Notamacropus eugenii: one gene and its partner. The protein of the gene in region 2 purifies or fractionates together with the protein of the main gene of each other region. This does not show direct contact. Links are inferred from orthologs where the notes say so. Each region holds a gene or a part of one and is shown on either strand. Other genes may lie near its edges. The genes, in order: AQR and PPIE.

The links.
Region 1: the proteins of PPIE (region 2) and AQR purify together in Homo sapiens (affinity purification with mass spectrometry; 5 studies listed by BioGRID and IntAct, counting the BioPlex papers as one, with this or other methods). This does not show direct contact. The link is inferred for Notamacropus eugenii from reciprocal best matches to the Homo sapiens genes PPIE and AQR.

What each region holds. Positions count from the first base shown.
Region 1 is NC_092878.1:19,789,378-19,804,411, forward strand, and holds the start of AQR (RNA helicase aquarius), read right to left. Parts: upstream 6,146-15,034; coding exon 5,953-6,145; intron 1,402-5,952; exon of another isoform or gene 1,178-1,401; intron 1-1,177.
Region 2 is NC_092876.1:79,568,401-79,583,749, forward strand, and holds the start of PPIE (peptidyl-prolyl cis-trans isomerase E), read left to right. Parts: upstream 1-7,263; 5' UTR 7,264-7,642; coding exon 7,643-7,673; intron 7,674-10,413; coding exon 10,414-10,512; intron 10,513-10,548; exon of another isoform or gene 10,549-10,660; intron 10,661-12,447; coding exon 12,448-12,491; intron 12,492-14,092; coding exon 14,093-14,119; intron 14,120-15,349. Other genes in the region: PABPC4 (polyadenylate-binding protein 4), read left to right, coding at 1-69, 172-265, 373-503, 1,822-1,908. UniProt on the Homo sapiens protein: Involved in pre-mRNA splicing as component of the spliceosome. Combines RNA-binding and PPIase activities.

The DNA of each region.
Region 1 (15,034 bases), on a different chromosome or scaffold from region 2:
GGCCACAGCCATGGTACTGAATGAAGTAACTAAGTTGGATTTGTTTCTCTCATTAAATTAATATAATTTCTAATTTAAGTTTTTATAAAAATTTTAACTTAAATAACATTTTTGGAGACAGGAAAGTAATATTACCACTATAAAAATATGCTTACACAAAATATGTTGCAGCCATTAGGCATGACCTGCCTGGTGAGAAAGGCAGCTCTTCTGAAACAAATTCTTTGATGAGCTATTAGCACATTCTTTTTGACATTCAACAATTTCTGTATATGGAAGAACACCACAGGCAGTAAGAGGTACCATGGAAGATTCACAGCACTAAGTCATATTTTTGATTCTGGCTCTCCCTCTTAGTAGCCAAGTGACCTTGCACAAGTCATTTCAACTTCGAGGCCTCAGTTTCCTCCTATGTGAAACAGGGAAAATAGCACCTGCCCTGCTTACTTCACAAGGTTATGTTATAATCAAATGGAACAACATGGGAAAGTTATTTGAAAACTGTAAATTGATACATAAATACAAGATACAAAAATGCAAGACATATACAGTAGGCTCAGTGATGGCAGGGACCATGTGTTCTTAACCCCTAATATAGAATCTTGAACATAATGGGCACTTAGCAAATAATTAATGAATGAATAACTTATCAGAGAAGCTAACTAGTAATTAAACTGATTGGTTAGAGTTGTAATTTCTTTTATTTCTCTGTAGTGGGAGTGACTGAGAAGGAAGATGGAAAAGCAAAGGACCTGGATAATTAGCTCCAGAGGGGCCTAAAGTTGACTATACACTAAAGTCAGTCAATAATAAACAGGTGGCATGGTGAGTACAGTACTGGACTTGAAGTGAGGTAGACTTTAGTTCTAACTCTACCTCAGACACTCACTAGCAGTATGACCCAGAGGGAACTGCCTTGTATATCTAGGTCTCAGTCTCCTCATTCATAAAAATGGGGTTAGTAATAGCACTTATCTCAGGATTGTTATGAGAATCAAATGAGACAATATAATTAAGCACTCGGCAAGCCTTAAAGCAGCATGTAAATGTTAACTATTGTGATTATTATTTTGGATGGCATCTCACTCGGATGTCCTACACTCTCGCAGTTTTCCCTGTGACTCCACAATCAATTTTATTCTGTCCCCACAACTGCAAAAAAAAGTTTTCCACTCACCCTATGTTCACCTCTCCTTGGGAGGAAGGAATCAGAGAAGTTGCTGCTGCTCTGGCCCTCCTTTTCAATTACTGCCAGAGGAGAAAGAAGTCTAATCATGGTGCAGCTAGGTGGGCCTGGAGTCAGAAAGACACATGCTGCTGGGTTCCAATCTGGCTTCAGATACTTACTAGTTGTGTGACCCTGGTCAAGTTACTTAACCCTGTTTGCCTCAGTTTCTTAATCTGTAAAATGAGTGGGAAAAGGAAATGGCAAACCCGTCTAGTATCTTTGCCAAGAAAATCCCAAATAGGGTCACGGACATGACTGAAAACTTATTGAACTGAAGGAGGTCAGAAATGTAGTTATGCTTTGTTAGCAGCCATTTGAAACATGAGCCTTTGTCTTTTCTAAGTTCATGTCTTTCACCTAGAATTACTTAACAAAAATTCCCTTCCCATCATACCCAGCAATTTTTTATCCAGCATTTTCTTCAAGAATTCCAGAAATAGGGAAACCACCACCTCATGAGATAGCCATTTCCATCTGCGCATAGTAGCTCTGTCTGGAAATATTAAGTCTAAATTTTCCTCTCTGAAACTTCCACTTCTTCCTCTTACTTCTGCCCTGTGCATTCAAGCAAAACCAATCTAATCCCTCTGCTATGTGATAGCCCTTCAAATACTTGAAAAGAGCTACAATGTCCATTGTAAGTGTTCTCTTCTCCAGGCCAATTCCTTCCAATGATACTCATATGAAATGAAATTCAGGTCCTTCACCATGCTAGCTGCCCTCCTCTGCAAAGTCTCTAGCTTGTCAATGTCTTTCCTGAAATGCAAACTGAACAAGAACACAAGACTACAGATAGTCTGACCAGGGCAGATGCCAAGTGGACCATCACCTCTGAAAGACCAGACATTAGACCTAAGATTACATTTGCCTCCTTGGCTTTCGTATCATACTGCTGAATCACACAGCCTCTAGATCTCTTTAAGACAAACTGCTACCTAATCCCCGACTTGTACTTGTAATATTGATTTTTTGAACTCCAAAGCATAAGAATTTATATTTATCCCTAACAAATTTAATCTGGTTTGATTGGGTCTATTATTTTAGCCTGTCAAGATCTTGTTAACTACTCCCTCTTCCCCTCCAGCTTTGGATTATCTGCAAATACGATTAGAATGCAATTTTTGCTTTGATTCAAGACACTGGTAAAAACATCAGACAGCACAGGACCAAGACATCCTTCCGAGATGACACTGAACCATTAATGACCTACTATCTTTTGGTTCTAGCCATTCAACACAAAATGACTCATATCCATTTTGGTTCTCCTCAGTTACCTACATTAGAAATAACATAAGAGCTATTTGCAGTTTATCAACAGAGCAAGTATATTTATATAATTTCCCAAGAAATTCTGATCTAGAGCGAGGGAGAAAAATGGAGAAAAATAAATGTGGCAGCTTTATTCAAAATGACCAAGTAGCCTATTAAGCTGAAATGACTAGAATCCTAATGAAGGCCAGAGCATGTCACAGCTGACCTGCATTCTTCCTGATGATCTATCCTATCCTATAAACTGAAACAAAATGCTTAAGAACAGAAAGAAACAAAAAGAAACAAAAACAATTCAGTGACTAGAGGAGGAGCAACATAATACATCACACAAATCCTTTAATATTAAAGCAATTAACTACCTGTTGTTATTTTTGATATATCTAGAAACTACAGGTTTTCTCCTTAAGTTTAAAATCTTATGTAAACTTCCAAAATTCCCACCGTGAACACTGAGCATGGGATACAAGTGATCGAGAGAGGACTAGGGTGTAAGAACGGCGAACAGCTGCCCAGGGCGGGGAGGCATGCGGTGAAACGCACACTGTAAGATCAAGGAACAATTTTAACTTAAATGGATATGAAGAAAAAGTGATAAATACACATACTTTTACTATTATAAAATTATATGCTCCATGTTACAAGGGTATTTGTTTTGTAACAAACTGCCCAGGTTATAGCCAAGGCCCTAATTTTCCAGTGAGGACAAATAGTTTATAGACCTTGTCTCTGAGTGTACAAGTACCATGATCTGGCTCTGGTGATCAAAAGTTTTTAAAAATGTGAATCCAATGGTTTGCAAAGTTGCTTGACTTCAGCGTCCTTTCTGTGAAATCTTTTTGCAATGGTCAGTGCCTGAGTTGCACCATCAGAACCCAGAAGTTGGAAATCTACAACATTCATGCCAAAGATGTCACACATGCTCTGGTTTTTTCATGGTGTAGCAATGGTACCTGGCCCTATACATCTAAGAACTCTCATTGGTTGAACCCCAGAAGGTTTGCACACTGACTTTCTTAGGATCTCAGACTGAGAACTCAAAGGGGGCTCAGAAGCCACCTGGTCCACAACCCTTTGTAAGTCCCACTTTTCAGAAGTGAGCTGGTAAACCCCTAACAATCCCACTCCTCACCCTCTTCATTTCAAGAGTCACCAATCATCTGAGCTCCAGGCCCTCACTCCACAATTCAAAACAAAAATTATTTCTTCATCAGCCCTAAGAAAGGTTGGATTATGTCTTAATTAGATTTAGTTTCTCCTTCAACATAAATTACAACTCTGCAAAAAGGTGCTTTAAAAAAAAGCACTCTGAATGAATGGATGAGGACTCAGGATAACCCCTTTTCATATTTCCAGTGAGAACCAGGAGACAATCTCAGTTGATGGCCTATAGTCCTCCTGAATGTCAAAGAGGCTGGGTTTGATATATCAGTTTTGTAATGCTGTTGTAAGGCTGTTCACCTTTCAGATGAAACTTAATTTCCTTCTTGTATATACCAGAAAATGCTGCAACATGTGATCAGCTTTTCTGGAGAGAATAGTTCTTAAAAGAAGAAATTTTGCAGTTCTTCCTATTCTAAATGAAAAATCAGAGATATCATATTTTATCAAGTCAAGTCCAGCCAGAAAATTACACAGAAAATTTCACATTTATGGGATAGCAAAACTGTCCTTTACGTCCTGACAATTTAGGGATGTATCTAGCATGGCAAAAATTTATAAGAATTTTGGACATGGAAATGATTGGTCTGGCCCCCTCACTTCACATAATGAGAACCAAGACCCCAGAGAGATAAGTGGTATAAGTTCACAGAAGCAGTTTAATAGCATAGCCAAAACTGAAAAACAAGGTCTCCTCCCAATCAGAACAATTTTTCACATCAAATGACCCGGACCACTTTGATTCTTCTTTGTTAAATTATTCTTGGCTTTTAACATCTACAAATTTATCTAAACACTTCTTGATTCTCCTGAAGAACACCAAAGCTGTCTTTAGATAACCTGTTAACTTCTCAAACTCCTTGATTTATATGTGTTCCTACAGCACTGGTCTTGGCAGTCAAAAACCCTGAGTTCACAGTAATGTGGACCATCTACTATTGGATGTATGAAATCAGGTCAGTCACTTAACCTCTCTGAGTCTAGATTTTTTTATCTGTAAAACAGGGCGAAAGGAATATGTATTTATTAAGTGCCTACAATGTGCCAGGTTAACAAAGGTTAAATGACTTCTCCAAGGTCACAGAGCTAGTAAATATGTGGCTGGGTTTGAACTCAGGTCTTCCAGACTCTAGTAGGCCCAGCTTCTCCTAAGGGATAATTCTTGCATTTAAAACACTACATAAGTGTGGAGAAGGACTTGAAATCAAATCAAAAAACAAATAATTTAGACTCAAGTAATTTTTGGACACCTAGAGCAATTTCTAGTGGCATTTTCCTTAGCTAGATGCAAATACATAACACAGTGGAAAGAGTCTGAGCAACTGGGATTCAAATCTCATGTCAAGCACTTACAGCTGTGTGACTCTGGGCAAGTCACTTAACCTTTGTCTGCCTCAATTTCTTGACCTGTAAAATTCGGAGAACTGACAATACCTCCTAGTTACCTTTGCCCCCTACACCTATTATCTCCCTGGGTTGCTGTGAAAATAAAACTGAGAAACTGAAAAATGCTTTTCAAACCTTAAAGCACTTCAAAAATTTTAGTTATTATTAATATGTTAATATCTCAACTCCACCCTTTCCTCCTTGGCCTTGTCACACACACAGTTACAATGTTACCTAACTCGTGGTCTGGTGCATTTCCTTTTCTAGGTAGGTACCCGCTTTATCCTCCTACATCTACGTCCCAGAGTGGTTATGAAGACAAAATGAGACATTTGTAAAGTGCTTTTCCAACCTTAATGAGCTTGATGGATGCTAGCCATGATTATTTATTATTATCATCCTCGCGACTCCGCCCACCCGTCCCTGCCTTTCCTCCTTGGCCTTGCCACACACACAGTTACAATGTTACCTAACTCGTGGTCTGGTGCCTTTCCTCCTTGGCCTTGCCACACAAACAGTTACAATGTTACCTAAATCGTGGTCTGGTGCATTTCCCTCCGATCCCTACGGAGGCTGGAGAAAGGGGTCAAGCTGTCAAGCTGGGGAAGGGAGAAAGCTGCTGCGGGGTGGGGGCCTGAGACACCGCCCCCGCCCCGTGCCGGTGGAGAACGTCACGCACACACACTCACGCACGCGCTCGGGGCAGGGACGCGGACGGGGACGAGGAGGGGGCGGGGGCACTAAAAGCATCAGGGGAGGGGGGGAAGGGAAGGAGTCCTGCCTCACCCCCCCCCCATCCCCGCCCCCGCCCGGGGCGGGTCCCTCTCCCGGTGGCCAGACGGGCAGGGGCCTCCCCACGCGTGCCGAGCTTGCCCCGCCCCACCGACTCTGCCCACTACCCCACGCACCTGGAGTCGGGACAGCGAGGAGCTGAGGAAAAGGAGAGCGACAAGCCCCACAGGAGCAGCGGCTGAGGCTGCGGCGGCGACGGCGGCGGCAACGAGGCTCAGTGCGCAGCCGCAACTCCGCGGGAGAGCCACCCGGACAAGGTTCCGGGCAGAAACACGCTCCGGCTTTTTCTCCATCGGGTTCCGAGCTCATTAGTGGTGCCTAGAAAAGGGTGTAGGCCTCAGCCTCTGCCCACGCCCCCGACCCACACGATGGGACAGGCAGGTGTCACCATTCCTACTCTCCAGACTGTAAAAGGTGGGGAGGAGGGCGGAATCTGACTCCCTCAGGCCTAGGCCGGCGGAAAACCACCTAACCGGAAGTAGGCCGCCTCAGCCCCTCTGGACCGGAAGGCTCTGTGGAGGGGTCCGGGATGAAACCTGTTGTTGTTAATATTCCGTTCCAGAGCTTGGACGCTCCGCTCTTAAAGCCAAAATTTGAATACTAGCATGTATATGGCACTTTAAAGTTCGAAAAGCGTTTTAGATGCTTTAGATTTTATTTGAGGTGCTATCGATGTGATTAATAAAACACTAATAAATTGCGATGCGATACATCAATAGAACCTTTTTCATCCCCACCTCCCCCCCAATTTAAATAAAATTTCCTCCTTTCTCAGTGTAATGCAGAGAGAAGGCTGCGTCGTCCCCATTTTACAGAATAAGGGACTGAGGGACAGAGAGAAGTGACCCAGAAAGGTTCCCAGAGCAAGGCCTCTGGATTCTAGAACTTTGATTTTCATCCCCCATCTTGCGGCCTAGACACAAATTCATGCGTTTAAAATGGGGTCATTCAAACAGTCAGTCAATAAGCATTTCCTGTGTGCCAGACCCTGTGCTAAGCCCTGGGGATACAAGGAAAGGCCAGAGACCTCCCTTGTCCTCCAGGTGCTTCCTGTGCAGTGGGGAAGACAGCGTGCAAACAGCTAGGTCCAGAAAAGCTGAAGAGGAGATGAACTGGAAGTGATCAACCCTTAAGAGAGGCTGGGAAAGGCTTCTTGCAAAAAGTTGGTTTTTAGTTGGCCCTTGAAGAAAGCCAAGAGGTGAAGATGAGGAGGAAGAGCATTCCAGGCACAGAAAATGCCTGAAGATGGAGTGTCTTTTTAGAGAAGCAGGGTCACTGGATGGGAAAGTATATGCGAGGAAGGATGGCGGAAGAAACCTGGAAAGGTTGGGAGAGAGGAGCAGGTTATGAAGGCCTTTGAATGCTGAAGAGATCCTTCAAGTCGTTGGCAGTCAGTATAGTTTATTGAGTTGGGCCGGTGGTGGTGACATGATTAGACCTTGGTTTTAGGAAGATCACTTTCAGCAGCTGAGTGGAAGATTGACTGGATTGGGAAGAAACTTGTGGCAAGAAGACCCATCGGCAAGTTGTTCCAATGGTCTAAGTTAGGTGATTAAGGCCTTCCAGGGTGGTTAGCCGTATCACGGGGGAGAAGGGAGTGATGGGGTTCAGACTCTGGGAGCCTCCTTGAGCTCCCCTTGAATCTTCCCACTTAATCTGGCCTTTCTTACTCAAATCTAATCTTCCCATTTGTTCTGAAAGGCTCCGGAAGCTCATCAAGATCTGTATTCATTCCTGTACTGCCCCTATCAAGATCTCTGGATTGTCCCACCTGCTTCCTACCGAAACCCTCCATAGTCTGATATCTCCTGATTAGCCTCCAGCTGTCTCCAGCCTTTGACCCTCCTTGGATTCTCTCCTTGGACTTCTCCTCAAGACCCTTCCTAAACCCCTCCTCCCATCACCCTGGACTATCAGACCACCCCCCAGATCCCTCCTATACGCTTTTCTGTATTTAAGTTCCATCTTGCCTCCATGCAGGCTCTCAGATTCAATCCAGCTCAGACTCTGTCTAGCTGGGATTCTGTCTGGCCCGTTTGTGAATACAAGTGTTACAAATGCTTAGGCTACTTGAGAGGCAACCCAGTTTGGCAAATCTTTAATAAACTTTGTTTTCTTTGGCTTTAAGAAGGCTTGAGTCAAATTCATTCGAGCACAACCTGGACTGTCGGTATCTTGGGGTCCACCATCACCCCAAAACCTCTTCAGGAGCACATGGATGAAAATGTTATGAAGGTAAAAATCAACAGGTTTTTGAACTGTGAGAGTTGCCAAGACCCTTAGGTCCAGAGGAGCATCGTCTAGCAAGGCAATATCCAGTGGGAAGCAGGCTCAGTGAGAGCAGATTGGAAGTGTGGGATAAGACAGAGTAAGAGATGTCTAGCATGACACCTAGGTTGTCAGTTTTGAGGATAGTGGGACCCTTGACAGTAACTGACAAGTTAGGAAGATGGCAGCTTTTGGGATAATGAGTTTAGTTTGAGTTGTGGTGAGTTTAAGATGTCCTTGGGACATCCAGTTTGAGATGTACCATAGAGATGCAAGTGTGGAGGTTAGGAGTGGAAACACACAGAAGCAGGCCAACTGTGAAAGTGACACTGAATTTTTATACTTTTTAAGAAGGAGACCATAAGTAGAAGAGATTTATGGTATCATAGAATCGTCTTTTCTACTTGTATATGAAAATATTCTTTTTTTAGTGCTCATTAAGTTTAGAAGAAAAAAGAATAAGTAAAATGTGCTTTGGAACAAAAAATATTACAAAGTGGTTATTGAACTGGACAAAAACTAAATAGAAAAAAATGGAAGAAAAGGGGACTATTTCTCTGAATGATGGAAAGAAGACTTTTTCTTCAACAAATAAAATTCTTGAAGCTTGAGGCCAAGATAGGTGTGCTTGCTGTAAAATTTAAAAACATTCCGTGCAGCAGAAAATGTAATTAAAAGAAAAATAACAGATTGGGGGAGATATTTATGACAGACATGAGAGATAAAAATCTGGCATCGAAAAAAATATGAAACTGTTGAAAAAAAAGTGGTAACTCTAGTCCATGATAGATAAATGGTCAAAAAATATGAACAGTCTATTTTCAAAAGAGGAAATACAAATTGTTAATTCTCACTTGAAAAAAGTGCTCAACCTCAATAATCAAAGAGGTGCAAATTAAAACAAGTTGGAGGAACCACTTCACACCCATCAAAATGGAGAAACTAAAAATAATGAAAGTGTGCTGGCCTGGTTGTAGAAAAACATTTGTTTATTGCTGATAAATTTCAAGAACAACTGGGTAATATTCAGCAGATATGATGCCCTTTGACTAACTAATTCCATTGTTAGGAGTATACCCTTTGAGTATTAAAAAGAGAAAGATATTTTTTCAAAGATTTAAACTGCAAGCAGTTTAGAAGTCCAACAATGAAGGAATGATTTGTGTAAAGATGTCAAAGGCTTTTAGTCTTTCTAGGCTGTATAGACATGAGAAGCCAAGTCTACTAGGGCCTCCGAGGTTTAGCTTTATTTCTATGTCTTTACCTCATCCACTCATCTATGAAGGAAAATAGATTTGGAATTGGAAAACTGGGGAACCCTGAACCTTTAAGCTATTTGACAGATATTAAATTAATAACTCTTGCATCAATATTAACCAGGTATAATCTTGGCTTCAGAGATTAAAATCAAGATGTATAGGGAATCCTCACCATAAACTGGGGCAATAAACCCAAGATGCTAGACCATGAAGTGGGGTCCAAAGAAAAAGCTAAGCTCTGAGGGCATAATCTAGCTGGGAAGAGGAACTTGATGCCCAAGAAGCTCCAACTATATATAGCTGAAATTCAGTCTAGCTAGAATGGAAACAGAGGAAGGCTATTAAAGAAAGAAAAAAACCAGAATTTTTTCTAGGGATGTTGCTGGTGTAACAGCAACTATTTGTATTCCTCTCCATATATGTTAATAACCATATATACTCGTTATGTGTGTTCACTTTTTCTACTGTTGGTATATGTATTTGTGGGAGAGTGCAACCCAGGTTTATTGGGGGAAATTATGTTTAAAAGCAACCCTTTCAAGACTGGGTCCTCTGTTCCCATCCCCTCCAGCACCATTCATTCAACCATCAACTACCAACAGAGAGTCATCACAGTCCAGTGGCAGGATAGAATCAAGATGACTAGTGATAGTTCAGGTTACTGTGGACGACCTTGGCATCTTCAGTGTGTAACCAAGGTCTAAATGCTCCACGTCACCTGCTTCAACTGGCTTCATGGCCTTTGAAACAAATTGTTCTCATTGGTCCATTCCCCCAGGGGAAGTCTTCACATGCTTGGGGTAAACATCCCCCAACTCACCAATGAGTTTGAGACCCCTTGATAACCCTCAACCTGATTTGGCCCATCTCCTGAAACGGTATACCAGGGTATGGCCACTGCACATGTTACAGCCTCTTGGATCCACAGGTGAGTGTTAGGTGGAACAGGTGGACACCAAAGGTGGAAAGCAGCCCTGAAAAAGGCTTGGCAGCCATCTCACCAGAGGTACTGGTCCTTTCTGAATACACCCTACACTCCTTGTTTTATGCCTGTGAAACATGGACAGTCTACCAGCGCCATGCCAGGAAATTGAATCACTTCTATCCGAACTGTCTTAGGAAGATTCTGAAGATCACCTGGCAGGATAAGGCACCAGACACTGAGATCCTTACTCAAACTAAATTGCTAAGCATTCAAACTATGCTTCAGAAAATGCAACTCTGAAAGGCTGGCCACATTGTTCGAATGCAAAACATATACTTGCCCAGAAAGACTATTTTATGAAGAACTCATATGGGGCAGGCAATCACATGGTGGTCAAAAGAGGCGATACAAGGACACCCTCAATGTCTCAAGAATTTTGGAATTGATTGTGTGATTTGGGAGACGCTGCCACAGGACCCCTAAACATGGCATGCCCTCATCAGAAAAGGTGCTGTGCTCTATGAGCAAAGCAGAATTGAAACAGCATAAAGGAAATGTAGGATGTGCAAATTTGGAGTAACCACCCCAAATGTTCATGCAGACTATCTGTGCCCAATCTGTGGTAGAGCATTCCGAGCTTGCATTGGTCTGATCAGCCACAGTTGTATACCCTGAAACTTCACTTTATCATGGTAATGCCATTTTGGTCCTCTTCAAGAACAAAGGACAACAACCAACCAACAGAGAAGACAAACCAGCTTACACCGCCACTACTCCAACCATCACCTTCTCTCAGACTTGCTAGTGTCTCATTTTTCCCATCATTGAACTTGAAATAAAAGAGTTGCCAAGATCCTTAAGTCCTGGTGTTAAAGCCACCTCCAACATTAGTGTTTTACCTAATGAATGTGTTTTTGTTCACTCATTAAACCTAGAGTAGCCTTCTTCCAGTGGACCTGCCCTGTGAGGTGGGAGTGGGGGTCCCCCAAGCACTACAACTTCAATAACATATTAATGTAATAGAAAACTATAAAGCAACTAAGATACAATTATGGGGAAGACATAAGGGACCTAAGTTTAAAACTAGGTTCTGCCACATAAGACCTACAGGAGCTAGCTCAAGTTGCAGTAATGGAACTTCTCCAAGGCCTCATTTTCCTCATCTTTATTTTTCAATATTATTTATTTATTTTTCAGTTTTCAACTTTCACTTCCACAAGAATTTGAATTCCAAATTTTCTCCCCATTTCTCTCCACCTGCCACCCCAGGACAGCATGTACCCCATCCACCCCTTCCTCCAGTCTATCCTCCCTTCTTTCAACCCCCTCTTCTATTTCCCTCCCCTCTATTTTCCTGTAGGGCAAAATAGATTTCTATATCCCATTGCCTATGCATCTTATTTTCTAGTTGCTGCAAAAACAATTTTTAGCATTCATTTTTAAAGCTTTGAGTTCCACATTCTCACCTTTCCTCCCTCCCTACCCGCCCTCTTTGAGAAAGCAAGCAATTCAGTATAGGTCATACATTGTAGCCATGCAAAACACTTCCCTAACAGTCATGTTGTAAAAGACTAACTACATTTCCCTCTGTTCTGTCCTGCCCCCTATTTATTCCATTTTCTTCCTTGACCTGTCCCCCCATGATAGTGTTTGCTCCTGATTAGCCCTTTCCCCAATTTGCTGTCCCTTCTGTTATCTTCCCCCCCTATCCTCTTCCCCCTTGCGTTTCTGCAGGGTAAAATAGATTTCCATATCCAATTGAGTGCGTGTTATTCCCTCTTTAAGCCAAATCCTGTGAGAATAAGGCTCACATTCCCTTTCACCTCCTTCTTCTTCCCCTCCATTGTAAAAGCTCTTTCTTGGCTTTTTTATGTGACCTGATTTGTTACATTCTACCTATCCCTTTCCGTTATTCCTAGTACATTCCAGTCAACAGTAAATTTTATTTTTAGGTATTCTCCCTTCATATTCAGCTCACCCTGCAGCCTCTGTCTATGTGTGTATGTGTGTGTGTGTGTGTGTGTGTGTGTGTGTGTGTATAATATATATGTATGTATATGCATATATACATAAACACACATATATAAACACATATATACATATACACATACACTCATATACATATACACACATATATAATATACACATACATACATACATACCTATGCACACCTCTATATATTCCCTCTAACTACCCTAATACTGAAAAAGGTCTCGTGAGTTACAAATATCATCTTTCCATGTAGGAATGTAAACAGTTAAACTTTAATAAGTCCTGTATACCTTCTCTTTCCTGTTTACCTTTTCATGTTTCTATTCAGCGCTGGTCTTTTCGACAACAATGCTTGGAAGTCCTCTATTTCATTGAAATTCAATTTTTTCCCCTGAAGTATTATACTCAGTTTTGCTGGGTAAGTGAGTCTTGGTTTTAATCCTAGCTCTTTTGACCTCTGGAATATCATATTCCAAGCCCTCTGATCCCTTAGTGTAGAAGCTGCTAAATCCTATGTTATCCTGATTGTATTTCTACAACACTTGAATTGTTTCTTTCTGGCTGCTTATAATATTTTCTCCTTGACCTGGGAACTCTGGAACTTGACTACAATATTCCTAGAGGTTTTCCTTTTTGGGTCTCTTTCAGGAAGTGATTGGTGAATTCTTTCCATTTCTATTTTACCCTCTGGTTCTCGAATATCAGGGCAGTTTTCCTTGATAATTTCTTGGAAGATGATGTCTGGGCTCTTTTTTTTTTATCATGGTTTTCAGGTAGACCAATAATTTTTAAATTATCTCTCCTGGATCTATTTTCTAGGTCAGTTGTTTTTCCAATTAGATATTTCACAGTCTTCCATTTTTTCATTCTTTTGGTTTTGTTTTATAATTTCTTGATTTTTCATAAAGTCATAGCTTCCATCTGCTCCATTCTAATTTTTAAAGAATTATTTTCTTCAGTGAGCTTTTGGACCTCCTTTTCCATTTGGACAATTCTGCTTTTTAAAGAATTCTTCTCCTCATTGACTTTTTGGACCTCTTTTTCCATTTGGGTTAGTCTTTTTTAAAAGTATTATTTTCTTCAGCATTTTTTTGGAGTAGTCCTATTTTTCCCCCTTTTTTGACATTTTTCCAGTCAATTACAAAGGACTTTTGAGTCCTTTGTCAAGTGGAGGGTATACAACCCCAAGCTTCAGAGATTTTATGCAGTTTTTCTCTGAGATATCTCTACAGACCTGTAAATTTTCTGTTCCTCCAAAGTGGCATAGTCAAGGGAGAAGTATTTACTCCTCTCCTGGCCTGCACTCTGGTCTGTGAGCAACCACAAACATTCTTTTCTGTCATGGAGCTGCAAATAGGATTCCCTTTCCACAGCTGCCACCTGCTCTGCCACACTAGCACTCTTCCTCATCCCAGAACTGCCCCTCAGGACTGAAACCCAGATCAACTGCTTGATTCCCTCACAGTCTGTAGGCTGAGAGCTCCAAAAGTGGATGCTGATGCTGCCCTGGAGCCAAGGCCCGGGCCTGACTAACCTCCCCTCTTACCCAGGTGAAAGAGCTTTCTCACTGACCTTTGAAGCTGTCTTTGGCATTTATGGGTTGAGAAATCTGGAAACCACAGCAGTGGTTTCCCATTATTCAGTGCCCTGAAGCCTGGTCCAGTCCCATCTGTGCTGACACAGCCAACGCTGGGCTCTGCTCTGCTATGAGACTGGTGCAGTAGACCCTTCCAGTCAGCCTTCCAGGCTGTCTTGAGCTGGAAATCCATTTCACTCTGTCATTTTGTTTCTTCTGCTGCTCTAGAATTTGTTTAGAGTCATTTTTATAGGTATTTTAAGGATTTTGGGGGCAGTACTTAAGCAGATCTGTGCTTCTACTCTGCCATCTTGGCTCCACTTCCCTCATTTTAAAATGAGGGAATTGGACAAGAGGACCTTTAAGGTTCCTTCTAGCCCAAATATATAAGCCTATGATCTCTGATCTTAAGACCCTTATGAGATAATACAAATCCAAAAAATCAGAAACAGAAGAGTCAAGTACTGACTTTAATCCTATGAGGGAAAGTAAATGATAATGCAGGGACAAAGAATTCTCAAGGGGACTTGAAAGAATAGACCTTTTTTGCATAAAGTGAATTAATTTAAAGTAAACAGCTACTAAGCAAGTACAGTTGTTATCAGTATTTAATATTTCTAATTAAAAATTGGTCTAAAAAGCATAAAGCATTATACAAATATGTTATTATAAGAGAAGGGACATGGTTAGCAGGCATTGTTCTTATGCCTTTTTCCCTCAAGTACATTTAAGTTAGAAAAATGGAGTCTTCCTCCTATGACCAACCACCATGACAGTATTGTATTATTGAATAAGTGTGTCACTGGAGGGGAAAAAGGAGACAGAACAATATTCGAAGTTCAGAGCATCCACTGTGGCAATATAGCAGGATTGTCAAAAATACAGATTTTTCTCTCTTTAGGGGATCATTTCTGTCAGGTATTTTGAGATCTCAGAATCCATTGCTCATGACAGAGCTGCCATTCTGAAGTCTAACAATGCCAAAATCATTCTATCCCATATGAGCAACTCTCTATGGGACATTTCCAACTGGATGACTGACTCACAGGCATCTCAAACTCAGTAAGGGCAAATTATAGCTCATCTATTCCAATAAGTTCATCCCTTTCTCTTCCTAACTTCCCTGTTTCTCTAAAGGGCAGCACTACCCTTCAAGTCACCCAAGTTTGCAACCTCA
Region 2 (15,349 bases):
AGAGCTGTTCCTCCTTACAAATATGCTGCAAATGTCCGAAGCCCCCATCCAGCTATCCCGCCTTTGCAGGTAATAGGGAAGCCTCTGTGCTGAAGTTAACTGGAGGGGTCTCTAGTGCATGTTGAGAGGGATGTGAAAAGTGACCTGGACTCTTTAACTCTTGACCCACAGACACCTCAGCCAGCAGTCCACGTGCAAGGCCAGGAACCCCTGACGGCTTCCATGCTGGCCGCTGCTCCTCCCCAGGAACAGAAACAGATGCTGGGTAAGTAAGGCATTCGTTGCTGGGGTGGGGTCGAGGCGGTTCTCTGCAGAACTGGGTCTTTGCAGGGAGCCAGGCTGACCTAAGCGTGTGTTAAATTTCTTTTGTAGGAGAGCGTTTGTTTCCATTAATTCAAACCATGCACAATAATTTAGCGGGGAAGATTACAGGTATGCTGCTAGAGATTGATAATTCAGAACTGCTGCACATGCTAGAGTCTCCAGAATCCCTCCGGTCAAAGGTAAGGCTGCTTGGTTTCATGGAAGGGCATTATTAGAATTAGCAAAGGGGCAGCTTATTTGCTTTCTGCATAATGAAACATAGCCTCGTTTAAAGGAAGAAGACCCAAGTGTGAATTGCTGCCCTGCTGCTATTCCGAACACTTGGGGGCTGTTTTCTCATCTGTGAAATGAAGTGGTTGGAAAAAGATGGGGAACCTTGTCCTGTGAACAGAGTAGCTTCAAAATGGATTAAGTTTGGGGAACCCCATGTACATGTAACACAGCACCCTGAGGGGAGAAGGGCTGTACTCCTCCATCACCCACTGGCATTCTCAACACTTGGGCATTTTTTTTGCTCTATGTCTGCTCAGTAAATAAACGAGAGGGATAGGGGGAAACTAGGGTCCCCCCAAGAGTGGAAGGGCAGCCTTCACAGACACTCCAGGCCCTTCCCATTCTGCCACGGCCCTTACTCTCCTCTGCTGGCATGGCACTGCATCATCTCCAAGGTCTGAAGTGTCTGATTGGTCTCCTGATCAAACTCTTCTTTTTCCTCTGACTTACTTGTCTTTAGTATCCAGCATGATGTGCCCTCCTTCCCTTTTGAGCTTAGACTCCAGCCAATGTGACATGCTCTTTTCTGAATCACCTTATTTTTCTCATCCTAGGCTCACCGCCCCCCTCCCCCCCCCCCTTTGTTACTCTTACCAGCTGAGGCCAGTGCAAATAAACACAAAGCCCTTCCCCACCAACCTCTATCCCACTGGGTTTTTGTGTTTTTTTTTGTTTTTAAATTTATTTTTATTTATTTATTTTTAATTCCCACTGGTCTTTATAACTTCATTTCGCCCTGACCTCTCAGCCATTTTAACATCTCATCAGCTGCCTTTGTGCATTTGCACAGGATACCCCACCCCCATGAGGAACAAATGAACAAACCCTCCTTCAAGGCTCACTTAAGTGTTAGACCTCCTGGAAATACCTCAAATTAGGTTAATTTCCTTAATTAACTCCACATTGAGTTCCTTGAGGAGTAGAACTATGTATTTGTTTTCAATTTGTATCTTTAATTGAGCACACTGTGTCTTGTGCCTAATAGGTGCTTCTTTAAAAACATCATGTTGAATAGGATTAGTTGAACTTAATGATTTAGCTTTGAATGAATGTATCTGGGCCTCTAAGCTGGAGCTGTGGCTTGTGCCATATTTAATGGGGACATTTGTGGGGATTATGGAAAAGTAAATGGAAAGGGCCTCCAGGGGAGGGACTGGTGGTATTTTCCTCCATGCCCTGCACATAGAACACCTAATTGAATGAATGATTGATCACCTGGTCCAGGTGGAGGAAGCAGTTGCAGTGTTACAAGCTCACCATGCCAAGAAGGAAGCTGCTCAGAAGGTGGCCGTGGTCGCTGCTACCTCTTAAACCAGAAAACTGGTAAATGGATTTCCGTTAGAAAATATTTTGTATCCTATTGGTCCCCAATTAGGGAAACCCAGGCAAGCCTTCCTCCAACCCTTTGCTTTCAAATTCTTCTTAGATATATGTGGGTAGGTTAGAAGTATGTGAGCTTTGTTGATGACTCTTTGCTTTGGAGGCTTTAAGGGTACGGAGAAAAGTGAAGACAATTGTTGCTAGGACCAAAACTGATGAAAGAGTTGGCCAGCTCCCTATACAAATAATTCAGTGGGAGGGCAGTTTTGGTTCTTGGAGCTGAAAGATCTGGCTTTGAATCCCTAGATCTTAAAATATGTATGTAATGATAAAAGGACAGGGACTTGACTTTGGACAAACTTCTCTTCTGGACTTCAGTTTCCTCATTTGTCAAAGAGAAAAGGAATGGATTTTGAGACTGGAAATAAGTTTTGCATGAATACACATGTGATACAATGTATCAATTATCTTCTTAGTGAAGGAGGGGGGAGAATTTGGAACTCAGTTTTTAAAATGAATTTTGAAAACTGTTTTTACATGTAGTTGGGAAAAAATAAAATACTAAATTTAGAATTTTTTTTTACTAAACTGAATGGTCTCTGAGGAATCCTTTCTTTCTTTGCAGGATACTCTGAAGTGAAATAGCCCCTTTATTAGATGTTCGTTCACTCAACATGTGGAGACTTCTTCAGTTACTACAGACTGAACAAGACATGGCAGAAGAAGCTGCTGCCATTCTGGAGATTTTTTCTTTTGAAAAAATCAACTTGAAAGGTCAATTCTTAAAACCCTAAGAAGTTTTCCAGTGGTCAAAATGGGCAGGTTTCTTGTGTGTTGCCTGGACCCTGTTAATCTTTAATTTAATTTTATTTAATTTTTCTCTTCTAAAAAAGCTTTTCTGACAGTATTTTTGTTTTGGTTTTATCAGGAATTGGTTTTATTTGACGTATCCAATTTACAGAGTCTGGAAAAGTGTTTCTCAATAAAGAAGTAAAACCTTCATAAATTGCCTCTTTATTTTTATTCCCATATTTTCAAACTCTACTGGAGTTTATTTGACTTATGTCAAAAATAAGTCCAAGTTTTCACTGGAAGGAGTCTTAGGAACACAAATAAGTCAGAATGGAATTGCACAGATAGTTTGTTATTCCTTGTTTGTTCTGGTTTTCCAAGCAGTTTGCTATTTCCTAGGTAATGAGGAGGACTGTTTGGGGTTGTCATTAAATTGACATGTTAAAATATGATCCTGTCACACTTGAACTGTCACATTAGAACCCAAAAGCTCCTCATAAATAGGAAATGTTTATATTGGCTTCAGTTATGTACAATGAATAGTTTTTTACCAAGTTTCAAGCCAAGACTGGACTTAAATGCTTGCATGGGGAACTTCAAAGAACGTTTCAGGGGTCAGAAAACGAATTTTTATTTAGAAAGTGGCATTGCTTTTGGATATTATTGAAGTAGTGCCACAGGGTCATCTGAACTATAGCTTCCTTTAATAGCAAACTTTATAGTATGCTTTTTATTCAGTTTAATACATAATCCATTCCAAAAGGCCAGCCTAGTGACCATCTGGAAGTAGAGGGGATCTGGAGTCTGTGGTGTCACGTAGTATCTATGACCTTTTGGGGATGCGTAATCTTATCTACCTCATTTTCTAAGGATGATAGCACCTGTGCTTATAAATGTTGTACGTAGCTTTGCCTGTTGCTCCACTCTTTGCCATGTGAAGTTGGTAGTTTTGACCCAATGCCACACTATCGGAGGCATGTGCTGAGTTGGCTTTGGCAGCGCAGGCTTCATGCAACAAGTAGAGATATGAAACCTGAGTTTTAAGAGTTGGACTTTTTAAATTGTGAAATGTCATATTTTAGTACATCACAAATCTCCTTAAAGAATCAGGATTACACTAGCTCAAAAGTATTAAACTGGATGAGGTGGTGTGGTTGAGTCACAATTTCCACTGACAGGGCTGACTACCATGTCAGATGGCTTACAATTACATATTCTGTTTGCTGTGCTATCCAGCTGCCTCCTAGTAGGGACTTTAATAAATTTTGGATGACTGATCATTTGAAGTATTGGGACCTACTAAGTACTGTATGAGCAAGAACACAACTAAAGATTTTTTTACAATTTTAAGTTCCAAATTCTCATCCTCCTTCCTTTACCTATTCAAGGAAAAAAAAAACAAAACCCATTACAGTTACGTACAGTGATGCAAAACATTCCCTCAGCCTTGTCTAAAAAAACAAAATATGCCTCAATTTGCTGTTAAGTCTGTCAGCTCTGTATCATAAGCATGTTTCATCACATCTTTTGAAGCTGTAGTTGGGTAATGTATTGATCAGTGTTGTCAAAGTCAATAGTATTCCATCATATCCCCAACTGAAGAACATCCTCCTCAGTTTCTGATTCTTTTCCACCACTTGTGCTTTGATCTCTGGGATACAGACCTGGTGTTTCTGGATCAAAGTATGCAGTTTTGAGGGGGGTAGTTCCAAATTGCTTTCTAGAATGTTTGAGCTAGTTCACCACTTTACTTGCAGTGCACCTGTTTTCCCACAACCCCTTCCAGCTATGATTTTCCATTTTTGTCATCTTTGCCAATCTGGTGGGTATGAGATAGTACCTCATAGTTGTTTTCATTTACATTTCTCTAATATTAATTTAAAGCATCTATTCATGTGGTCATTTATAGCTTAGAATTCTTCTCTAAAAATTTCCTATTCATATTCCTTAATTGGAGAATGGATACCAGAAGATGTTTAGAAGCAAAAAATCCTAGAATTCTGGGGTGCATTAGCTTTTGAATCAATATGCTTAACGTTTGCCAAATACACTTATTACTAATGTATCTGTAACATTCAATTCAATTTGTCCCGTGGAGGAATTCCCACTCAGGTATTTACCTCAAGGGTAAACCATTCCTTGTTTAATAAGGGTAGTCTAGAAGGACAGGTTGAACTGTCAACAAACCATGTTTGAAGAAACCAAATGAATGAGGCCACAGCCTCTGGGAGCACTAAAAAAATTAGTCCTACAAGCTGCCTGGGAATCTACAGCTAGTAATCACTAGCTTGTCCAAAGACCAAAACTGCACATCCCCAGAAATGCGGCAAGCTGAAATGTGGCTTCTGGAGGAAAGATGCAGGAGTTCTTGAAAATCTTGAGCACCACCCACTTTGTAATGAGTGGTAGCTATTCAACTCCACAGTTCTATTGTAGCCCATCCTGGCACCGATAGCTTGCCAACCCCACGTGACCTGTACACTTGTGAATGTAAAATCCTTTGAGCCCCTCTTTAATAGTTTTAGAATTTGAAGATGTTTATTCATTAAGTCAGGGAACTGAGACTTGGGTTCAGTAGTTCAAACTGTTCCCTGGTAAGAAGTTTTTGGAATGTATGAGCTGTCTTTGGAGTTAATGGCTTCCCCTTTGCCAGAGTTTCTGAAGCTACGTTTGGGTGATCATTTGACTGGGATGTTCAAAGACGCCTCAGGTTCCTTCTAACTTTTGTAATTGTGAAGCGACACCCTTTGGTCGGATGCTACCCTTTGAGCAAGATTATTCAGTGAAGCTCTAAAACTGAAGGGCTTCAAAGTAATTGAAGAAATAATTCCCTACTAGAAAGCTTACTGATTTTCTTGGCATAGACCTTTTTCCATTTTGGTTACTTTACTCTGTATGCTTTGCAGCTCATCAGCATCCTTCCCAAATTATGGCACCCAGAACATCACTATTTCAAATGTGGTCCAACAAGAGTGGCAGAAGGGGAGGGACTGTTCCTTAAAGCTTGTCTTCATTCAGTCCAAGACTAACTTGGGTTTTCTTTCGGTCATCTCATACTGCGGATTCATTGCACTTTAGCTCACCCAAACTCACAGGTCTTTTTGTCAGATAAACCAATCAGAATTCTAGAGTTGGAAGAGTTCTCACTGTTTCTCTCTAGTCTTCATAATCAACATTTTGACAAATGGACATCTAGCATTACTAATCTAACCAAGCCTGTCCTATTGTACTTGTGAAGTTGGTTCTTTTAACCCAAATAAAGTAAGACTTTACTTTCATCTGTTTTAGATTAGGCCAATGTTTTACCTCATCAAGATCATTTTGCATCCTGAACTTCAATCAATGTTACCCCACCCACCTTTGTATGAGTTGCAGATCTGGTTTGTGTAACTTTTTTAAAGATTGTTTTTATTGGCTGGATGTGTTAAATTCCAGAATCTAATTATTAATGCCTAGTGATTTCTACTTTAGGATGGATTTAAACTAGATAGGACAAATAAAGCCGTAGATGTGTCTATATGTTTATACATCCTTAAAAAATAACTTCACTCTAATGAAAAAAAAGCTGATCCTTCCCATCCCACCAGCCTTCTTCTCTATAAATGAGGGGGTAAGGTGTCTTCTCAATATCTTTGCTTTTTATTAAGATCACCGATAAAAATGTTAAATATCACAGGGCCAAGCACAGATTCCTGGGACCCTGTACCAAACAGTGCCCTTCAAGTTGAGTCCAACCAGTTCCAAATCCAACAAATTAGCATTATGGAGCCCCATCATTTCCACAAGAATCCTATTAAATAACTCTCAGAAGCTCTGCGAAAATCTGGGTAAACCACAGAGCATTCTTCTCATTTATCTTGGAGCCTGTCAAAACCCATCACAAGGCAGGCCAGCTCTCTCTGTGATCATCTCTCTAGATCCTCCTCTAGATCTTCGACCAAAATTAAACCAGCCTCACTGGCCTGCACTGTCAGATCCTTTCCTCCCTTTTTAAAATATGGGGACACTTTGCCCCTCTCTGGCCCCAGAGGACCAGCCTCCCAGGTCACGGAAGCCAGTCCTGAGAGATGCCCGCTGGCACTGCCCCTCCTGTGGGTGAGGGGAGCTGAAAGATTGCTTGTGACTGCCCGAGTCCTTCTCAAGCACTCAGGAGGAACTTCAGTGCCCACAGTGGCAGCGCCGGGCGCCATCCGCCTCCAGTGCCCGCCCCCCCCTTTCCTCCGATGTGCCAAGAACCACAAGGAGAACAAAAGGCCCGCTAGCCCCCCTTTTAGCTCTGGTGTGCGACCCCCCGGGGTGTTCCGGCCAGACACTGGAGGGGTCGGCCATTCCCTTCCCCAGCGCATTTTACAGATGAGGAAACTGAGGCAAACAGGGTGAGACGCCGCAGCGAGGACGTGTCGGAGGCGGGACTGGACCCTCCGGACCCGACTCCGGGACAGTGGTCGTCCCCTCCCCCAACACGCGTTTTCATCTTCGGTGGAATTCCCGCGTTGCTAGACGGGCCAAGCGGGCCGGCCGTTCCCTCACGCAAGCCCAGGACATGACGTCAGAGCGCACAACGTCCCGGGGCCCCGCCCAGAGGCCGCCCCCCGGGCACCGCGGCCGGGTCATTGGCGAGTGCCCTACAACGTGGGCTTCTGGTGGGCACGCATTAAAAAACCACTCTCTCAAGTGAGTAGCTAAGCGCCACGGCAAACATCTAAGGCCGCCCATTCACTCCTTTCTCTTCCACTCCAATCTCCTCAAAGAAAAGCGCGATTGGTGACGCCACGTCGGCCCCAGGCTGCGCCTGCGCACAAAGCCTCCTCTTAGCTCGGCCAGCCTATGGCTGCGGCGGGACTCCGAGGAACGCAACGCCCTCTGCTACTGGGCGTGGGCGGAAATAGGGGCGGAGGGAGTCGTCGACTTCCGCCTCGTAGCCCGACGCAAGATGGCCGCCACCAAGCGGGTCCTATATGTAGGTGAGTGGAATTTCACCGCACTGGGTGGGGGCAGAGGTCGAGGTTCCAGCAGGAGTGGTTTTCTACCTGGCCTAGGGATGCTGGGCCGGTGAGGAGAGTCTGGAGGGAGGCCTTGGCCCTCAGGCCTGGTAGGACAAGGGAGAGATTGTGCGGGGCTAGCTATCGCGAGACTTGGCTGACAGCTCGGGGGTGGGACCCAGCTCAGTTTGTGCTGGGGGCGGGGCGAGTGATTGGAGGCGGGGCTGAGGGGCGGGGCGCGCTCTGCGCTCCGTGGTTGGGTGCTGAAGGGGTCACGCGGTTCAGTTGTGTAAGCGTTCTTTTACTTGTAGGTTACCTTTGCCTGCTGGTGTATCCCCCTGCAGGAAGTAGCCTTCAAACTGGCGATTAATAAATGCTGCCTGTGGCACTGGGGATGGGGGCTGGACCTGTAATTTCCGTGGTCCAGGGTACTCCCGGGTGAGGACACGCCCCTCACCTGTAGGCAGGCAAAAGGTGTCACCCTGGAGCCCGCAGCGCAGCCTGCACCATTTATTAAATGCCTGTTGTGTGCCAAACCCCTACTAAGTGTTGGGGACCTAAAAGACGGTTGTCCCAGCTGCAAGGGAGTCTGAGGACACGGGTCCGAGTATTCCTGACCCCACTGGGGGTTTTCTTGGCAAAGATCTTGGAGTGGTTTGCCATTTCCCTTTCCAGCTCATTTTACAGATGGGGAAACTGAGGGAGGCAGAATGAAGTGACTTGACCAGGCCAGATTTGAACTCAGATCTCCCTAACTCCAGACCTGGCCCTCTCTCCGCTCTGCTGCCTAGCTGAGAAGGGAACATAGTAGACATTAATAGAGTGACCGAATGCTTGTTCACCAAGGAACTTCCCCAGCCTTTTTTAAAAATTTTATATTTTTTTACATTTATTTATTTTTAGTTTTCAACATTCACTTTCATAAATTTTAAATTTGTTCCCCTCCTTCCTCCCTCCTCTCCTCGAGACAGCATGCTGCATATATATTCCTATTAAGCATATTTTCACATTAGTCATGTTGTATAGAAGAATTAGATGAATGGGAGGCACTGATGAGGGCTGGAAGGGGGCAGTGAGACCCTTACAAAGACCAGGGTACCAGGGGCAGGTCACCTGGAAGGAATCCATGCATGGTCTCAAGCCTTCTTGAGGTCAAAGTAAAGATTTATTACACTTCTCAGTGGCCAAGAATTCTTAAGGAACCTGTGATTTGAGTGGAGTACAGTTAAAGTTTATAGAGGATATTTTATTGTAAAACATGTGCCAAGTGTGAGGACTAGGTGATTCAGGGCAGGATTAGGGAGTGGTTAAGGGGTGATTCGTTCTTAAAGGAACATGCACTTTCAGGGTCGACTGTGCAGATATTTTACCCAGAGTCCATTGGGAAATAACCCAAGAGGGGTGCTACATGGAGGTGTGGTTTTAGGCCTGAAACATCACCAAGTCAACTGAGGGTCGGGACTGACTCAGGAATGCCAGGCTGCTCTCATCAGTGTCTTGTTAGACAAGATAAATGTAATGGAGTATACGTATGTCTAAGTCTAGGACACATATGATTGGTCAGTGAGTAGAAAACATCGTTACGACCCAGTGCACAGTCCATTCAGCCAGTACACAGCTGGTTCAGACTAATAAATTCTATTGGTGCAGCTGGCTGCTGTATCAGGAAGGGAGATACAAGTTTTGCTAGGCCAGGCTGTGTCCTTGGGCTGGGGAGAAACTGCGTGAGATTGTTTTGAGGATAGGGAGAAATGTGATTTTTAGAGAGATGTTATTTTAAAGTTGGGGTTCAAGCTCAGGCACCCAAGCACCTTATCAGAACCATGAGAAAGAAAGAAAATAGTCTGCTTCACTCTGCATTCAGACTCCATAGTTCTTTCCCTGGATGCAGATGGCTTTCTCCACCATGAGAAGGACCTCCCCTGTGAAGGACAACATTGCAAATCCCTGCTTGCTTTCCAGTTTCTCTCCCCTTCACTGGGACCTGTTTAGCTCAGACTAGACTTTCTAAGGAATCCGTCTGACCCTGTCATTTTTGTGCTTAAAACCCTTCCCTGGGCAGGCATTTTCAGAAGCCCCTTCCCATTGTGCTGCGCTGCCCTGAGGATTACAGAACACAAAAGGTAAACAGTCCCTGTTCTCCCAGGAGCGTACAGTCTGCCCAAGGAGACAGCATGTACATATATAAGTACATGCAAAATATGACACGGCAGGGAAAGGTGTAGTGCAGAAGGTGGTCCGTGAGCTGAACTGTGAAGGAATCAGGGATTTTGATAGAAGGGGGGAGTTGGTGATTTCCAGGCATGTGCAAAGGCATGGAGATGGGAGATCTAGCTGGATGATCCTGAGCAAGTCACTTGTTTGCCTCATTTTCCTCAAATGAAAAAATGGGGAATATAATAGCCCCTACCTTCCAAGATTGTGGTGAGGATCAAATGAGATAATGATTGTAAAGTGCTTACCAAGTGCCTGAGACAGAGTAAGTGATAAATAAGTGTTAGCTGTTGTTATTGCATACACGTAGGGCGTAGCCTGTCAGGTGCATCAAGCACATTACTGGCACACAGTGTCATGGATTTAGAGCTGTTAGCTCTAAGGGACACTGTAGGTCACTTGGTGCAAGCCCATCCACTTAGACTTTGAGTTGGACTCTTGTCCCTAACCATAGGGCTGGAGCATACATGGAAGAGAATTGAAAAGGATGCCTTTGCTTCATTTGTAGGGGGCCTTGCAGAGGAGGTGGATGAGAAGGTCCTTCATGCTGCTTTTATCCCTTTTGGAGACATCACAGACATTCAGATACCGCTGGATTATGAAACAGGTGAACATGTTTATTACTTCTTTTTCTTTATCTTAGGGAGAAGAGTTCAGAAGTATCAAAGGAAAACTACACTCTGACTTGTTGTAACATGGGGGGAACAGCTGTGCCTTGACTGAAGAACCGGGTTCTGGGAACCATCAGATCAGTGGTATGGTAGGGAGGGCACTGAACTGAGGTTTGGGAAGACCAGGGTTCATATCCCATCTCATATATTTAAGAGCTGTGTCATTCTGGCTAAATCCTTCCATCTCTGTGAGCTTCAGTTTCCTTATCTGTAAAATGACGATAATATTTGCACCAGCCTCACAAGGTTGTTGTAAAGTTCATATAGAATAAGGTATGTAAAGTGCTTTGCTGGTCTTAAGCCCTTGTATTAATGGGATCTCTTACACTTGGGCCCAGTGGGATGACCAGCTGTTCTCCATGCACATCATCCTGTCTCCCAACTCCGTGCCTTTGTGCAGGCTCTCCTTCTTAGAGGTCAGGGACTATTGAGTTTTTTTTTTTACTTTGTATGCCAAGCAGCTCGCATGGGAATTGCATCAAAGTGAGTAAATATTAACTTTATCGACAGCTTATGGGATTGGGGAGGAGTCTGTCTTGGCCTTTGAGCCATTTTTATCATATTTGACTTATTCCCTTGAAACTGAAAGCTTTGTAAGCTACTAACACCGTCAGTGGGTCTCCATTCAGTGTGCCTGGTTAACCCAACCTCCCCAGCAGTGTGGCGCAGCAGGACCAGTGGCCACTGGGAGGCAGGGACCCAATAACCAGCACTGACGGGTGGCCCCACCAGTCCAGCCAAGTGAATTTCCATAATTTTCCCTTCTCCTCCAAAGGTGCCGGCTGTTATCATGCCATGATAGTAATGTTATATTATTGTAGGAGATTCCTCATAATTCTATAGTGCTTGATATTTTATAGAGTCCTTCCGTCACAACAGCTTTTTGAGAGTATGGAATGTAAAGGTTATTATTCCTGTTTTCTTCATAAAGAACAGGCAGCTCAGGGAGTTAGAGAAAGGATTTCCCCAAGCTCACACAACCGGTGTCAGAGCCGAGAACCGACCTGAGGCCTTCTCACGCCTTCATACCACACTGCTCTTTGTCATCCAAGTGTGTATGTGGCTTTGTTCTCTAGTTGCCGCATGTGTCTGGCCTTTCCAATCAAATTAGGCCCATTTCCACATCAAGGAACATGCTCTAGCTTGCTTCCCATTGTGCTGGGTGGTACACCAGAGGCATGGAAATATATTTGTTGAATGAATAATCAATAGTTGATTGAATTGTGGTCTGTTGCCCAGGCAGCTTTGTAAGCAAAGGTTAGCAGAACTTATTCATAGCCAGTTATGTTTAAAATTCTGATGTCATCAGACAGAACTTATTCATAGCCAGTTATGTTTAAAATTCTGATGTCATCAGACATGTTAACACATATTTTCATTTAGATAGAGCTACTCTTCCTGTGCCATCTTCTCCCAAGGTTTCATCACAGTATGCAGCGGACCACAAGTTCTGGCAGGCCCTGCCAGTCTGGGAAGGCTGGGAGGGTGGCCTTGAGAACTCATCCATAAGATGCTGGCCACCAGGTTTGTAGCACTTTTTGGCTGACCAGCTCCAACATTTGTATACTAAGCATTGTGATCTACCCCAGTATACCTTAATCAAGTCACAGAGCTGTTGATACATTAAAGCAAGATAGTGGCTGCATTTCTAAGATGTTGTTCGTTCTTGCTGAGTCCAGGCTAAAACATGAAAAGTTCACGGATCTCCTCATCAGTTCCCAAATGGGCTAGAGAGTAGCGTCAGAAAGAAATCCTTCCTGATATAGATTTTATCAGTTTCTTGTTTTTTTTTCCCATGAACTCCATTGGTAGCAATGCATCCTGTCATGAAGTTATATAATCTAACTGCTTCTTTCTGTATTCTCTCTCAGAAAAACATCGAGGATTTGCATTTGTTGAATTTGAGTTGGCAGAGGTGAGAAACATACAAGTTTTTTGGTTTTTGCATTATCTTCATTTCCATATGTATTCTCCCTTATCCTCTGCCCATAACCTTTTTAGGAAGAAAAAAGCAAAACAGTTCAGCAAAACTGACCAATACATTTTCTGAACCTGGTAGGATATGCAGTGTTTCATACCCATAGTCCTCCACCTCTGCAAAGAAGGAGTTAGGTGGCTTTGCTCCTTCCTTCTTTGGGGACGAGCTTAGAAATTAGAATTGCACAATATGATTTGGGGGGGGTTTGAGTGGGCATTCTTTGCATTTCAGCGGTTGTCATGATGTGCATTGTTCTCCCATTTCTGGTTGCTTTGCTTTATGAGGTTCATTGGAGTTTGCTGTGATTCTCTCTGGACTTGGTACTAAGCCTCATTCTTGTGTCACACTCTGTGTAGTTGCTCCTCAGTTGATGGGCATCTGCCTGAGAAGCACACTGTCTTAAACAGTTTTGAAAGCTTTGGTTTCCCTTCTTTTGAGTTTTACTACAAAATGATCCATTCTTCCTTGGGGCCACTCCTTGGACTGTGTTCATACAAAGGAAGGTTTTTTGGTGGAGATCCCAGTGAAATGTGTGCTAGCTTTCAGGGAGAACTTTTTTCATTTCAGGTAGCCTTGATTAAGCACCCTCTCTATTCAGGACACTACTCCAAGGGCTGGGGATACCAGGACAAAATCAAAAACAAAAACTTGTCTACCCTCAAGGAGCTCACATTTTCCTGGAGACTATATACTAGACATGCAAATAAACAAAGAATATACATCTGTTTTGTATAAAGAACATACAAAGTAATTCATAGCAGTTTAGCAGGGAGAGGATGCTAATAATGGGCGGTGGCATGTAAGAAGCTGGGCCAGGAAGGGCCTGGAGTAGGACGTGGTTCTGGTCTGTGCTTTGAAGGAGCCTTCTGGTAGGTGGCAGGGGGGAGGGAGTGTATTCCAGACATAGGAGAATCCATGTCCAAAGGCATGAGATAGGATAGTATGTGGGAAGCAGCCAACAGAGAATGAAAGGGGGTCACAATTAAGGCTTGCATGGGAGGTGTGAGCCGGAAAGGTCATGAAGACATGTGGATGGAGTATTGGCTGCTGGTTGGGCACAGGGGCTGAGGAAGCCTTCGTGGCTGTAAATTCCCAAAGTTGGAAGAGTGGCAGGGATGTCCTTGGAAATGGGGATGTTTAGAGGAGGCATGGGTTTGGGATGGTGATGTAGGGAGTTCTGTTTTATACATGCTGATTTTGGGGTATTTACCAGATACCCTGATGGTGATGTCTAGCAGACAGTTAGTAAGAGGGATAGTAGTTCAGGGGAGAAATTAGGAGTAGATAATATAGATTTTAGAAGTCATCTGTTTAGAGGTAATAATTGAACTCACAGGCATGTTGACATCACCCAGAAAAAGGAGAGGGCCCAGGACAGAGTCTGGCCCACCCTGGAAAGAGGCTTGCTTAGATGATTACACAATGGAATGGTTAAGGCTGTTTTTTAAAAAAATCACCATTTCTCCTTAAATGCCCAGTTGCATTGCATTGTGGTTTTTACAATATGCTAATGAACTGTTTTTGTTCTCTTTCCCTAGGATGCTGCAGCAGCTATCGATAACATGGTATGCATCATGTTCCTTATTTCTTACTGATGTTTCTGTTTAGTTTTATACATCTTAATGACTTCATATTTGTTTGTTTATATTTTCTCTCCTCCACTAAACACATCTCTATTTAAAATAGCCAGTTTGTCGCTAGTTTAGAGCCATTCTTGATTTTTGGTGAACAGTAGCCTCGACTTAAGGTGAAAAATAGCCATACCTCGAAAGCTGTTACTTTGTCCCTGCTTAGTCTGACATTTACTCTGATAACTTCCAAGCACAGTGAACCTAAGGAAAAGATTTCACACCTACTCATGCCTTATTTTAGATCTGTCCTAAATGGATGACTGCACGTGCTGGCTCCTCAACCCATCTGCATTTTACAGTGAGCACAAAGAGAGCTCATTTTCTGATGGTCAAGATGGCTCTGTGTGTGTGTATGTGTGTGTGTGTGTGTGTGTGAGAGAGAGAGAGAGAGAGAGAGACGGAGGGAGGGAGAAAGAGAAAGAGAGAGATTAATGGGAGAAATCATGAGAATACCTTGGAGGAGCTTGTGAGTGGTTCTCCCGAAGAATAGTGATTCCTCTTCTATACAAGCAAGAGTGCTGGTTTTGCAGTCAAGAATACCCTCGGTTCCCGTCCTGCTCTGATACTGACTAACTGTGGGATCATTGCCACCAACTTCTTAGTGCCCCAGGTAACTAACTCTCCAAGAGAATAAGTTAGACACTTTACCAGTGGGCATTGGGTGAGGGCAATTCCACACTAGGAGTTCTCCCAACAAGGAAATCACTGGACCAGAACCAAAAAACCCCTAATAAATATTAAAAGTTCAATTCTAGTAGTTCCTAGACTAGACAGAGGTCATTCTGGGTCCTTGAAACCACAGCACTGGCAAGTTCTCCCAAGCCAGAGAGGCTTCTACCTTGACTCTTCGGGTAGACGTTTAGTTTGTTGGCTGAGGTTGGAGGGCTCAGTGCCACAATGGCTGCAGAAGGATAGAGGGGCTGTGATCTGCCTTGGCAGAGGGAGTACTGAAAATAGATGAAATTTTAGGCCCTTGTATTATGATAATAGTATGTGTTTATAATGTAGCATTATCATAGCTTTTAATTATGATAAGCATTATATGCATCATCTCTTGTTAGGAAGACAGGAAAAGCAGTGATACTTCAATTTTACAGATTAAAAAATGAAGTGGAGGAGAGACAGTACATAGAAACAAATATTTGTTACAGATTAAAAAATGGA